Arabidopsis thaliana: one gene and its partners. The protein of the gene in region 2 interacts with the protein of the main gene of each other region in a pairwise test. Each region holds a gene or a part of one and is shown on either strand. Other genes may lie near its edges.

What was found.
Region 1: the proteins of ASIL1 (region 2) and TOM6 interact in a two-hybrid assay, tested with the Arabidopsis thaliana proteins (one large-scale study listed by BioGRID).
Region 3: the proteins of ASIL1 (region 2) and EMB1135 interact in a two-hybrid assay, tested with the Arabidopsis thaliana proteins (one large-scale study listed by BioGRID).

Annotation. Positions count from the first base shown.
Region 1 is NC_003070.9:18,284,760-18,288,820, forward strand, and holds TOM6 (translocase of the outer mitochondrial membrane 6), read right to left. Parts: upstream 2,276-4,061; 5' UTR 2,144-2,275; coding exon 1,979-2,143; 3' UTR 1,959-1,978; intron 1,005-1,958; 3' UTR 547-1,004; downstream 1-546. Other genes in the region: AT1G49405 (Uncharacterized protein family (UPF0497)), read right to left, coding at 58-188; AT1G49420 (Heavy metal transport/detoxification superfamily protein), read right to left, coding at 3,100-3,560, 3,666-3,750, 3,868-3,891. UniProt on the Arabidopsis thaliana protein: A component of the complex responsible for the recognition and translocation of cytosolically synthesized mitochondrial preproteins.
Region 2 is NC_003070.9:20,178,953-20,182,920, reverse strand, and holds ASIL1 (6B-interacting protein 1-like 1), read right to left. Parts: upstream 2,312-3,968; 5' UTR 1,950-2,311; coding exon 798-1,949; 3' UTR 547-797; downstream 1-546. Other genes in the region: AT1G54070 (Dormancy/auxin associated family protein), read right to left, coding at 1-238; AT1G54050 (HSP20-like chaperones superfamily protein), read left to right, coding at 2,799-3,002, 3,100-3,363. UniProt on the Arabidopsis thaliana protein: Transcription repressor that binds specific DNA sequence such as the GT-box-like motif 5'-CGTGATT-3' in the AT2S3 promoter. Negative regulator of seed maturation genes during seed germination and seedling development.
Region 3 is NC_003070.9:29,850,421-29,855,318, reverse strand, and holds the start of EMB1135 (RING/FYVE/PHD zinc finger superfamily protein), read left to right. Parts: upstream 1-1,852; 5' UTR 1,853-2,103; coding exon 2,104-2,712; intron 2,713-2,789; coding exon 2,790-2,963; intron 2,964-3,048; coding exon 3,049-3,179; intron 3,180-3,372; coding exon 3,373-3,449; intron 3,450-4,038; coding exon 4,039-4,220; intron 4,221-4,410; coding exon 4,411-4,488; intron 4,489-4,699; coding exon 4,700-4,832; intron 4,833-4,898. Other genes in the region: OCT2 (organic cation/carnitine transporter 2), read left to right, coding at 1-1,179. UniProt on the Arabidopsis thaliana protein: Required for normal embryo development. Necessary to acquire heat stress (HS) memory, by modulating nucleosome occupancy and regulating heat-induced gene expression.

The DNA of each region.
Region 1 (4,061 bases), 1.9 Mb from region 2:
TAAGATTATATTAGGGTTGATAATAGAATATAGAATATGGAATTAGGAGTTATTTACCAGAAAGCAGTGAATTGGTAGAAGCGAACACCGATGGTCATGAAGAGAAGAGAGCCAAATGCTAATACCATCTGCCCTAACCTTAAGGAAAGGCTTGCAGTTGTGCCTACAGAGCCAGGAACCTCCACCATCCCCAGCTTTGCTTGTGTGGCACGTAGGTTAGCTGTTGAATCTAAAACTCGATAAAGATGGAAACTTTTGACATGGATCTGCAAAATCTTGTGTAGTTTTCGATTAAATCATAGGGGTTTTCGTTATCTGGTAAGGACAAAACGATCACGATCATGATCATGACGAAGAAGAAGAAGAGAATTAAGAGAGGAATAAAAGAAAGACAAGTTGAGAGTGTTTCTGGTTCGCACGTTGTTTGTGAGTGTTACGAATGGTGGAAAAGAGAAGACTGTTCATGTCGAAAGAGTTGTGGTCTGTATTCATCAGACAAAGCAGAGCAATTGTCGGAGAAAACTGTTTTGCAAAACACTTTTATTCCTTTCTTCTTCAATTCCCGATCTCTCCCCCTTTATATTTATTTTATTTTATTTCAATGCATCTAGCTTCCTCCTGTACGAAAAGTCGATTGCTCTTTAGAAAATCACAAGACAACACTTTAGAAATGTCCAAAACTTACTCGTTTCATTAAAAAGTGTTTTAATTAAAACGCTCCACAAAAGACAAAACTAGTTCTGAGAAGAAAATTTTGCAAATTCAAAAGAATAATGGGCAGAATCTGATCTGCAAATCGGTAGTGAATAGCCGAAGGTAATTTGCTGGAAATTGGAGAACGTTGGTGAGAAGAACATAAACCAAAAACAAATCCCAAAAGTACACCACTATATAACTAAATGTCTCATGATTTCGTAATCTCAGGTCTTAAGAGTAAGAAGGTTGCAAAAACAAACAAGATATCTTCCATTGCTTCATAATGCATCTATCTCACCGCTTCAACGCTGCACGAGATAAAAGACAATAGGCGGCTTAGCAAACTCAAGACATTGACGATCTCAATATGGCTGAGAACAGGGGAACCCATAGCATCGAGGTCACACACATTATATATAATACTTGGATTAATCGACAAAACACATTCTAAGTACACACAATCTTAATCTAAGATGTTCAGAAAAATTTTGAAGGTTTCTTCAAGAAGACTCTCTCTCTCATGACACACAAGAGGAGCAAACAAGCAAAGAAGCTTTCGCCTAAGCATAGTGAATACTTAACAATCCCTAAATCTCCATGGGATACATGAGTATCTAAGATAACTTCATACACAGATATATTCACATATCAATAAGTGAGCCTAAAGACATAAGCTGAAACATATCATGCTTTAATGATTGTGAACACATTCTCATGAACAAGCCTTAAAACTTACTTAAGAACAGACCAGAGAGATCTTAGTATGGCAGAGCAATGAGAAATCTATGTGTAAATAAATCACACACATTATTAAATTGGCTTGAAATTTTTTTAACAAACCTTTCAAAAACACATTCAAAACAACACACAATCTTGATCTAACATGATCATAATACTGAAGATTAACACCAAACCAGCTTTTACTAAGCATATTCAAATCAATACTCAACAATCCCTAAATCTACACATTGGGTATATATAATGCTTCTTCATACACAGATATATATATTTCATATCAATAAGTGAGTCATAAAGGCATAAGCTGAAGCATATCAATGACAAGAATACTCTAATGAACAAGAGTACCAAATTTCCAGTTTCTATACTTTTGATCAAACTCAAGCAAGTACCATAACTCGATCCTAAGAGTATTAAGGATCAAACAGAACTAATTCAAACGAATTTGAAATCGTTATGACTTGATCTATCAAAGCTAAATCATGACAAAGGAAGACAAAATTGATAGAATTCAATAATCAGACCTGAAAATTGAAAGAGTCATTTAGAAATCGATCTTGAGCTCATCTTTGGAATCGGAGAAATAGGAGAGGACGTAGGGAGCAGCACGGATAATGACAACCCAGCTGCCAAAAAGAGCGACATGAGTGCGTAGCTGCTTCAGAGCCTCGGCTTTGTCTGGCTTTCGCATGAACATTCCTGGGAACATGGCTGCGATCTTCTTCTTCCTCTCTGATGTGTGAATGTGATTCTTTAAAGATTCTAAAACCCTAACCCTCGATTGATTTGCCGTCTCGTTTTTCACAATATAAGTGTTTTTAGATGTGGGCCGAGTTTTTAATATGGGCCGTTAACGAAGCCTTTAATATGAATTGGTGATACACGAAGCCTTTTGTCGGCCGAGTAAATACGGAGATGCTTAGCCGAGCAAAGGAAAGACATTTAATTGCTAATTAAAAACAAAAAATGGAATGAGACATAATTAGAGAAAATGTATACATCCCTTTATTATTAGAAAGAAAGTATAAATTGAAATTTTGTCTAATTTGGCTTTAATTTTGGATTTTGTTCTTTGCTATTCAAAATTATTAAGGGTAATTTGGTCTTAACAATCACCTAAGTTTTATATGATCCGATTCAATCTAAACCGTTCAATAAAATTAATTTCCTTCAATCTAAACCGTTCAACAAAAATAAGGAATCTATGTCGTTTTTAAAATAAAAATATGATCACATTTTATCCCTAAAAACATTGTATTCAATCACGAAATCAATAATCAATAATATATAAATCATATATTACGATTCTTCACTAATCACTAGAAATTTATATTTATAAGTTTAAAATATCAAATTTATTCAAATATTTAGTATAAAAACCAAATAAACCGATCGTCTGCGGTAAACCGCGGGTTAAAACCTAGTATAATGTATTTGATCAGGCTATAATAGTTAAAAAATTGTTACTACCAAACAACGAAAGAACACAATGAAGTATTATGTATTATTGTCAAACAAAATGATCTCACACATTCAAGTGCGCTTTTAATTAGTAGAAATTGTTAAAGGCTAAGAAAATCAAAACTAGTTGTGTAGAATAGAAAAATTAAATAAGTTTTTTTTGTTCTTTAAAGAGAGATAATGTAATAGTAATGGTTCACGACTTCACATGATGGAGCAAGACGGTTGTTCCTCTTCGTAATGTGATCTGCCACCATATTGCGATGGTGGTGGTTGCCAACCTCCGTAGCTATTGTAAATGGGTCTTTCATCATACCCATTGGGTCGGGACCATCCGTAGTTAGGCCCATCAGACCAAGGCACCGGATGGCCCATCATCGGCGGTGGATTATACCCATGTGTCACCCGTTGAGAACTTGGATCGCCTTGAGCTGGAGCTGCTGCTGGTTTGGGCTTCTCTGGTTCTTTAGGTTTTTCAGCTTCTTTGGGCTTCTCAGGTTCTTTGGGCTTTTGAGCCACATGTTTGGCCGGATCGATGGTTTCGATGAGCTTAATAGCTCCACGTCCTTTGGAACAGAGTTTGTCCATCACTTTCTCAGGACTGCAGCAAACCACTTTGATTGTGACCGTGTTGGTTTCTTCTTCGAACTTTTGGTCTCTTACTTCTTTTGTTTTCCCAAAAAAATCACATAAAACAAATTATTATTATGAGTTTTTAATTTCAAACCAAAAGAGACGTAAAAGGAGAGAAAGATATAACAATAACATACGAGGTATGCTCGAAAGAGCCTTCTTGACTTTCGAGAAATTCTTTTCGTTACTAAGAGGCTCCGTCTTCAATTTCATCCATGTTACCTAGTTTAATTTCATCATATAATGTTCTCATAGCTTTTAATACAACTTTTGTAACAATTAGTAGTAACGGTTTCAAAGAGAAGCACAAAAAAGAAAAAGAAGAGAGCGTTTATTTACCTTCTCCTTACCCTTCTCGGCCATGGCTTTGAAAAGAAAAATATTTTCAGTGTAATTGCTTGTATATACTAACACTACTATGCAGCTATGCTATATATTTGGAGTTTCACGAGAGGGTTTCCAAGGAAAAAGAAGTTGAATATTGTACAATTTACTTTTCTCTTAGAATGTATAATTTCCATAGCTATTATTCC
Region 2 (3,968 bases):
TCCCAGGGTTGCTGCTTGAACAGGTTGGAGAATCCGGATCCATTTTCAATTTACGGAGACCACGAACATTGTTATTCCCCTTGGTAACCATGATGCTTCTGGTGACTTGGTCGCTTGAGAGAGAAGGAGGAGAAGATCGGACGGTGGATAATGAATCGTGCTTTCTCAATTTCCCGAGACCATTGTCCGGCGTCGGTCCGGCCACCGTTTCATCCCACAGCTTGTGTAGGAACCCCATCCGATCAACAAAAATTTATCCAAAAATATATAACAATATTTTTTCAAATTATTTCGGGTTTTTATTTTACTGTCTCTATCTTCTTTTTTTTTCCTTTGCAATGGAAATGGTTTTATAGAGGTAGTAGAGAGGTAAGGATGAAAGAGAAGAGAGAAGCATTGAATATTTTTAGTGAGGTTAATTATAAGCTTTGGCTTAATTAAGGAGATTTTAATTTAAGGATAAATATGCTGACTAATCCAATCATTAGTCTCTAATCTCATTGGTGAATATTCTATAAGCTGTGTCTTAACTTAGAATCACAAACTACTAGTTCAGAACTCTACTTAAGAATCACAGAGGTTTTCAACAAGCTATTCAAGTTCAAAGCTTTTTAATTTGCCCATGTTTAAGACAAGAAGATGGATAACAATAACAACAACATGATGATAATCAGAGTCATAACTTCTCTACATTTACACATCCCACAAGGCAGTAACAATAACAACAACAACAACATCAAAACCTAAAATCCAGCTTATCATAGCAAATATCATAGGAACATTTGTGTGTTCAATTGTCAGCTACTTACATTGCCGTTATTCTTGCCATTGCGATCATCATCATCATCAACGATCCTCCTTTCTCCTCGCTGCCTGCTCCTCTCTTCCTCTTCTTGATTGTTCTGTGTTATCTCCAATTGAGTTTTCAAGAACTGCATTCTCTGCAACTCCATCTCTTTAGCAAATTTCATCCTCTCCTTTTCCAGTTCCGCCATTAACTTAAGCTTAGCAGTTTCCGCCTTCTCATAAGCTTCCGTAAATCCAAGTATCGCCCTCGCCACATCTCCAACTCCACTCCCTCCACCTCCACTCTTATCCACCTTCAACCGCTTTGGCATATGAAACGAAAGCGGTTGAATCGGTTGCAAAGGTGGGAGACTCTCAGCAGATTCCTCAGGAGAAGCCTCAGGTTCAGGATCAGACTCAGACTCAGTCTCAGAAGCACTACGTTTCCTAAAATGCCACCGCATCGAATCAGAGCCTCTCTTCTCTTGTTGTTGCTGCACAATCTGATTACCTTTAGTTTGCCGTTTAAACATACTCGAACGGCTATTCCCAAGAGCTCCTCCCATAGGAGCCTTCTCTGAAGCTTTTGAAGAAGCAATGAATGTTGTAGTACCACCAATCAAACTCTCAAGCTTCTTGAAGAAAACCCATTTACTAGGTCCATCACCAGAAGCAATCTTAGCTTTCTCTTGCTTATACTTCTTCTTCACCGTATCAATTCTGTTCTTACACTGAATATCAGTTTTAGGGTATTTGCATTGACGACTCTTGTTCACAATCTCAGCTACTTCTTTCCAATGTTGTTGCTTCAAAGTTCCTTTACCTGGTTCAGAGAATCGATCTCCCCAAGCTTCGATTAGAACCTTTGTAGCTTCTTCGCTCCAACAATCATCTCTTCCTCCTCCACCACCACCGCTTCCTCCTCCTCCTCCTCGTCCGTTTCTGTTTCCGCTACCACCACCACCGGTTACAGAAGGAGTATGAACCACTAACGCTAAAGCGTTCATGGACGGAGATTGAGAAGAAAGCCCCGGTTGTGGTTTCTTCACGACGGCCACCGTCACGTCGTTTGTTGGCAAAATCGGCGGAGAAGGAGGAGCTTGTGGTGAAAGGGAAGAATCTCCCGGAGATGGAATTGACTGAATCTCGTCGTCGTCCTCCATGAAAAATCGATCGATTCGGAGAAGGTAAGACGATCTGAGGATTTTGCAAAATTTTGGATCTGAGATTCGCTCACCGGCGAGGGGATAAGGTCACCGGATAGGTAATCTCCGTTATTGACCCGATGGATATGTTAAATGACGAAAACACCCTTCACTCTTTCCTTTAATAACAAAAGAACAATATTAGAAATTTAGAACCGTGACAGTATTCGAATGGTTTTATGGTAAATACTCAAATATCGCTATAAGGTATTTATGCTTTGGCCATTTTTTCGTTAGGAATATTGAATATACACACTGACGGATTTCAAAATTTCTCTAATATACAAAAGTATTTTTATTTTCTTGTCTATAGTATGGTTAGGTAGGTTGTCTCAAGTCTCAAAAACTCTAACTAAAATAAAACGAGATAAATCAAGTCTAATGGGCTAAGGCCTGGAATAACTTTCAAGGCCCAATAAAAACAGATATAAGAAATAAAAATACAAAATAGAACAAAGACATAAATCAAGTCCAATGTGCTAAACGGCCTATAAATAACTTATAAGGCCCAATAAAAGGAGATTTAATGACGTGGAAGCTTTTGAAACAACTCTCAAGTTCACTAGTTACTTCTAGAAATTTTCTCTGGAACTTTCTAGCTCACTGGTGTTTACTCACTATATATCAATGGAGTGAAAATTTCAAACCCCATACTATCAAATCGAAGAAGAGGAAGATCCAATTGGAAAGGGTTATCCTAATTCCCAGGTAATGATCCTATTCTCTGTATCGATCTTTTCCTGGAAAATTTCAGAATTGTTGATTTTTTTAACTGTTTTGTTTTCTGGCAGTCATTGATCGGAGAAGATGAGTGCTGTTGCGATTAACCACTTTTTTGGCTTACCGGAGGCGATCGAGAAGCTAATTCTCCCGATTTCTCGTTCCGGCGAAAGTAATAACGAGAGTCGTGGAAGAGGAAGTAGCAATAATATCCCAATAGACATTTTGGAATCTCCCAAAGAATACATATTTTATCTCGATATCCCCGGAATTTCAAAATCAGATATCCAGGTATTGATATAATCCCATAGAAATGTTGAATTGTTTATGAAATTAGGGTTTTTTTTTTAATTTAATTTATGATTTGGGGGTTTTGGTGGGAAATTAGGTTACAGTGGAGGAAGAGAGGACTTTAGTGATAAAGAGTAATGGGAAGAGGAAGAGAGATGATGATGAGAGTGAAGAAGGGTCTAAGTATATTAGACTCGAGAGGAGACTTGCTCAGAATTTGGTTAAGAAGTTCCGGTTACCAGAAGATGCTGATATGGCTTCTGTAACGGCTAAATATCAAGAAGGTGTTTTGACAGTTGTTATCAAGAAGCTACCGCCACAGCCGCCGAAACCTAAGACTGTTCAAATCGCTGTTTCTTGAGTAGTTTCTGTGTTTTGTTTTTGTGTGTGTTTGTTTTCTAGTTTGTAATTTTTCTGTGTTTGGATAAAAAGACTCTGTTTCTTTTATGTGTTCTCTTGTCGAAATTTTGAAATTGAAGAAATAAATAGGTTTAGCCTCCAAAACCAAAAACAAATAAAAACGTTGTCGACATTACCACCATAAGATACTCCTAAGGCACTGGGCTCTACAAAATTTTTGTGGATTCTACAAGATTAATGTTATAGGAAAAATTCTAAAAAAAATTCAAACTATTTTTTATTTAGAAGTTTAATACCCAAATGTTTTTAGTCAGAAAAAATACATATACAAATTAAAACATACAAGAATTAATATCTAAAATTTTATATGTTGTTATTTTTATACATGATTTTATGAATAATTAAAAATTTCAATTTTATCTTTAACTTTTTAATTAATTATTTATTTTAATTTAAAAAAATTATTTTGGTTCTCTTTTAACCGGATTAAACCAAATCAAAACTGGTTATTACCACCACCAAATTTTGTTCTTGTCATGTTAACCCGATGAGCTTTCCCAATCCAACAACCAACACGCCAATTGTCAATCTGGGCTTTATAAACTT
Region 3 (4,898 bases), 9.7 Mb from region 2:
GATTCTTCCTTGGGTCGTAAAAACATGTTGTTTCTGTCCTGTCTCGTTATGGCGATATCAACGATGCTAACGGTTTTCTCACCAAACATTTGGGTTTACGCTGTTCTTCGATTCGTTAATGGATTTGGTCGAGCGACGATAGGGACATGTGCGCTCGTTCTTTCGACGGAATTAGTTGGGAAGAAATGGCGAGGACGAGTAGGGATAATGAGTTTCTTCGGATTCATGCTTGGCTTTTTGTCTCTTCCTTTGATGGCTTACATGAACAGAGGAAGTTCTTGGAGGATTCTCTACGCATGGACTTCGATTCCAACGATAATATACTGCGTTCTTGTTCGGTTTTTCGTTTGTGAGTCTCCAAGGTGGCTTTTCGTTAGAGGCCGTAGAGAAGAAGCTATTTCGATTCTCAAAAGGGTTGCTTCGATTCCGTCTACTGATGTAAGCAGTGGTGGTGCAATATCTATGAGTTTTTCGAGCTTACCTTTTGAAGAAGATGAAGAGAAGCCTAGTACTAATGTTAACATCTTCACGACCATGAAGGTGTTGGTAGAGAAAAGATGGGCGCTTAAGAGATTATCCGCGGTAATGGCCATTGCGTTCGGGATTGGTTTGGTCTATTACGGGATGCCTTTAGCGTTATCGAATCTTGATTTCAACATCTATTTAAGTGCAGCGTTTAATGCGTTGATGGATTTACCAGCGAACCTCATCACGCTTTTCCTAGTCGATAAACTCAGTAGGAGAAACGCGCTTATCGGATTTACGGCTTTAGGTGGAGTCTCTAGCGTTCTCATATTTGCGTTACATAATATGAGAATTGGAAACCACGGGGCGTTACAGTTGGCGTTAGAGCTAATCTCTTACTTTAGCGCGTGTTCGGCTTTTAACATGGAGATGATATACACGATCGAGCTGTTTCCGACATGTGTGAGAAACTCGGCTATCGCAATGGCTAGACAGGCTTTGGTGCTTGGTGGAGTTTTCAGCCCTATTATGGTAGCAGCTGGTCGGAAAAACGCGTTCTGGTCGTTCGGATTGTTTGGTCTTGCTATAGGTTTGTTGGGATTGTTTGCAGTTGGATTGCCAGAGACTAGAGGGAGTGATCTATGTGACACTATGGACGAGGAAGAGTGCAAAGACCGGCGGAGTAAAGTCGCCGTTAATAATGTCATTGCATGAAATGGTGAAGAATTTGAAAACACATGTGAAATTAATGTAGATTTAATTTAGTATTTATCACTTGATTACATTAAGACTTACCACATATCTTTTTTTTTGGTTAGTTGAAAAGTGTTTCTAAGAATGAGCCATCAAAGCACCACTCTGATGAAACAATCTCATTTTACAGTTTACACCTATAACACATGGATTTCTTGAATAACAAAATAATTCAAATTTGTCTCGTTTGGATATTGATGCCGATGGTTAAACGTTTGGCTGTTTGATTTTTGTTAGAGATAATTGTGTTTCTGTTCTAATTTTCACACGTTGTGTGAAAATGAATCGTTCCAATCCCAAGAAAGTATATTCATTGGGGTTGTTGGTAGTTGGCTGTTTGGTAATTGAATGGGAAGAACAAACCAGACAGAAATTTGTACACTTCTTGGTAGATATGTTTAAAAGGTTTAATTTACAAATAGGCCCATCTATCAGCCCTTTTGTAACCCTTTTAGGCCCAACTAAGTGGTCTCAAAGTTCACAAACCCAAAACTTATGTGGATTTATTATTTTAAGCCCACACAAACTAACGAACGGTGAGCTGGCAAGTCACGTGATGACACGTGATCCATCAACCCATCACTTACCATTACCCCAACCGGTACGGAAGTGGTTTTGTATCTTCCTACTTCGACTCCTCTTGGGTAATTATAATTAGTTTTAGATGAACCAAACAATCCCAAAATAATATTAGAAAAAGGGAAGAAAATCTGAAACCAAAAAAAACGAGAAGGGAGTCGAAGAAGAACCTTTCGCGCTCTGACGAAATTCATTACTTACACTGGATTTATACTTTTTTTGTCTTCCTCTCTCAATTATCTCCTTCAACGCCACAAGATCCTAAGGCCTCTCACGGATCTCTCTTAAGATCAATCGCCGCGGCTCATGACGCAGTCGCCTGTTCAACCGCCTCCGCCGCTCCCAGCTCAGCCGCATTCCGCCGCCGGAGGTGTAATAAGAGGCGATGTACAGGTTAGGTGCGCAGGCTGTCGCGTGATTCTGAGGGTGAAAACCGGCGTTGTGGAGTTCTCGTGTCCGACTTGTCAACTTCCCCAAATGTTGCCGCCGGAGCTTCTTTCTAGGGCACGGCCGCAGTTTCCGCAGTCTCCACAACAACCACCACAGCCAATTCAGACGCTTCCGCCACCGATTCAACAGCAGCTTAAGCCTCTTAATCTACCTAGGCCTCCGGTTCCGGCACATGGAATCGATCCGACGAAGATGCAATTGCCTTGCGCTAACTGTCAGGCTATCCTCAATGTGCCTCATGGACTCACTCGGTTCTCGTGTCCTCAGTGCCATGTCGAGCTCGCTGTTGATGTCTCCAAGCTTAATCGGTCTTTAACTGCTTCTCAATCTCATTCTAATCCTCCTACTCCTGCTGCTCCCACAGTCCCGCCTCCGCCTCCTCCCGAAGAAGTCAATGAGGAAGCTATTGAAGTGGAGAGAGAAGAAGATGAAGGTGGAACGGCTGGAGAAACGTTTATGGATTATGTGAGTGCCTCATCTTGAGATCATCTTTTTCTGTCTGTTCAATGTTTTTGATGATACTAATTTGTTTCTTTGTGAAGCGTCCCCCAAAACTTTCGATCGGACCTCCTCATCCTGATCCAATTGTGGAAACATCATCTCTATCTGCAGTGCAACCCCCAGAGCCTACTTATGATCTCAAAATCAAGGAAGAGCTTGAAAGGTCAAAGGCTTTATCGTGTTTGCAGATTGAGACATTAGTTTACGCTTGCCAGGTTGCTTTTAAATGGCAAAAAGTTTGGTTAATGGCATTTAAACGTATCTTCTACCTGTATGACAATGGTTTTTTTTTTATTACAGAGGCATCTCCAGCACCTTGCTGATGGTACCAGAGCAGGCTTTTTTGTTGGAGATGGTGCTGGTGTGGGCAAAGGGCGAACAATTGCCGGGTTGATTTGGGAAAATTGGAAACATGGAAGGAGGAAAGCTTTGTAAGTCTTGTAGAAAGATACTTCTGCGCCATTTACATCCTTGATAAGATATTGTTAGCTCAATTCAATCTGACTTATGATTATACTACATTTGCATAATTGTGTCTACGGTGTCCTTTTTTGGTTTCTTAGATAACTTAAAGTAGGATGAGTTCTAATACTATTTGCTCCTTTTCCTTTATGATTTACATAGGTGGATTTCTATTGGCTCAGACTTGAAATATGATGCAAGAAGGGACTTGGATGATGTGGGTGCTACATGCGTTGGAGGTATTATCTTGATTTTGGCTGTAAATTAAGTTTGTAATTCGCTTATTTTCTTGGGTCACAAATGCTTCATATGTTATACATAATTACATATAGCTTATGCTATAAATTATTTTCTGGCTCATTGTTGAATAGAAAATTTTGAAAGTGGATGGTATAGAGTAGACTGGATCAGAATGAGATTCTGACTTTGCTGAATGGATAAATTGACTCATGCTTTAATATTACGATGTAGAGTACACATGTATTTTTAGAGAACTTATTTTCTTTACTGATAAAGGTAATGGGTCCCTGAACTTTGTTTATGGTGTCTTCATGCCTAGAGAATGTTATGGGTAGCTGATGTTTGTGCAGTTCATGAAAATTTCAGGTAAATAAAAGTTGGACTGTAACTTTAGAATAGTCCAATAGGATATTTGATTCTTAGTCTCATTAATCCTTTATAGGTTTGAGCTTGGAATTTTAATAGAATATTAGGAGATGGAAAAATACGACAAATCAAGGGAACCATGTCGATGGATAAGTTCATTCAAGTGAACAAATGTCCAGTTTGTTTTTTCTGCAACTAAATAACAATATGTTTGACGTGCAGTGAATCCTTTGAACAAGCTACCCTATTCTAAGCTTGACTCGAAAAATGTTGGTATTAAAGAAGGAGTGGTATTCTTGACATACAATAGCCTCATTGCTTCCTCTGAGAAGGGCCGTTCTCGTTTACAGCAGCTTGTTCAATGGTGTGGACCAGAATTTGATGGTCTCTTGATCTTTGATGAGGTAACAGTTCTATGAATGAAGTATATTAAATTATTTGCGTTAAAATCATCATCCCCCTTTTTTTGTGAATTGAACAATTTGAGTATACCCTGTCGTTGTAAGTTGCTTGATCACTGGTTTTATCAATTTTGGGCCAACCTCTAATCTTTAGTACATTGTGCAGGTACTAATTTGTTTTCCTTTTTTATAGTGCCATAAAGCGAAAAATTTGGTACCTGAAGCTGGGAGTCAGCCGACACGCATCGGACAGGCAGTTGTTGACATTCAGGTCTGGCTACTTGAAACTGAATGTTCTTATCAGTGTTGCTTTTAATATTGCTCTTGGCTCTGAAGAGTGAGAGATTATATACTTCGACTTGTCTTTTTGGGTTGTACTTTTTCTCGGTTTCAGATAATATAGTGTATATTCTAGTTTAACATGCTTAATTTGTGGTTAGTGCCATCTAGTTGACTCTAACTAATGAATTCTGGAAAAGCAGGATAAGATCCCCCAAGCACGTGTTATTTATTGCTCGGCTACTGGGGCATCAGAACCACGAAACATGGGTTATATGGTCAGGCTTGGTCTTTGGGGAGCTGGAACAAGTTTTAGTGATTTTAACAAATTCCTAGGTTGGTTTTCTTTTCTACTCCTGTTGATTAATTGATTTTTTTTTTTTTGTGTGTGTGTGTAACATT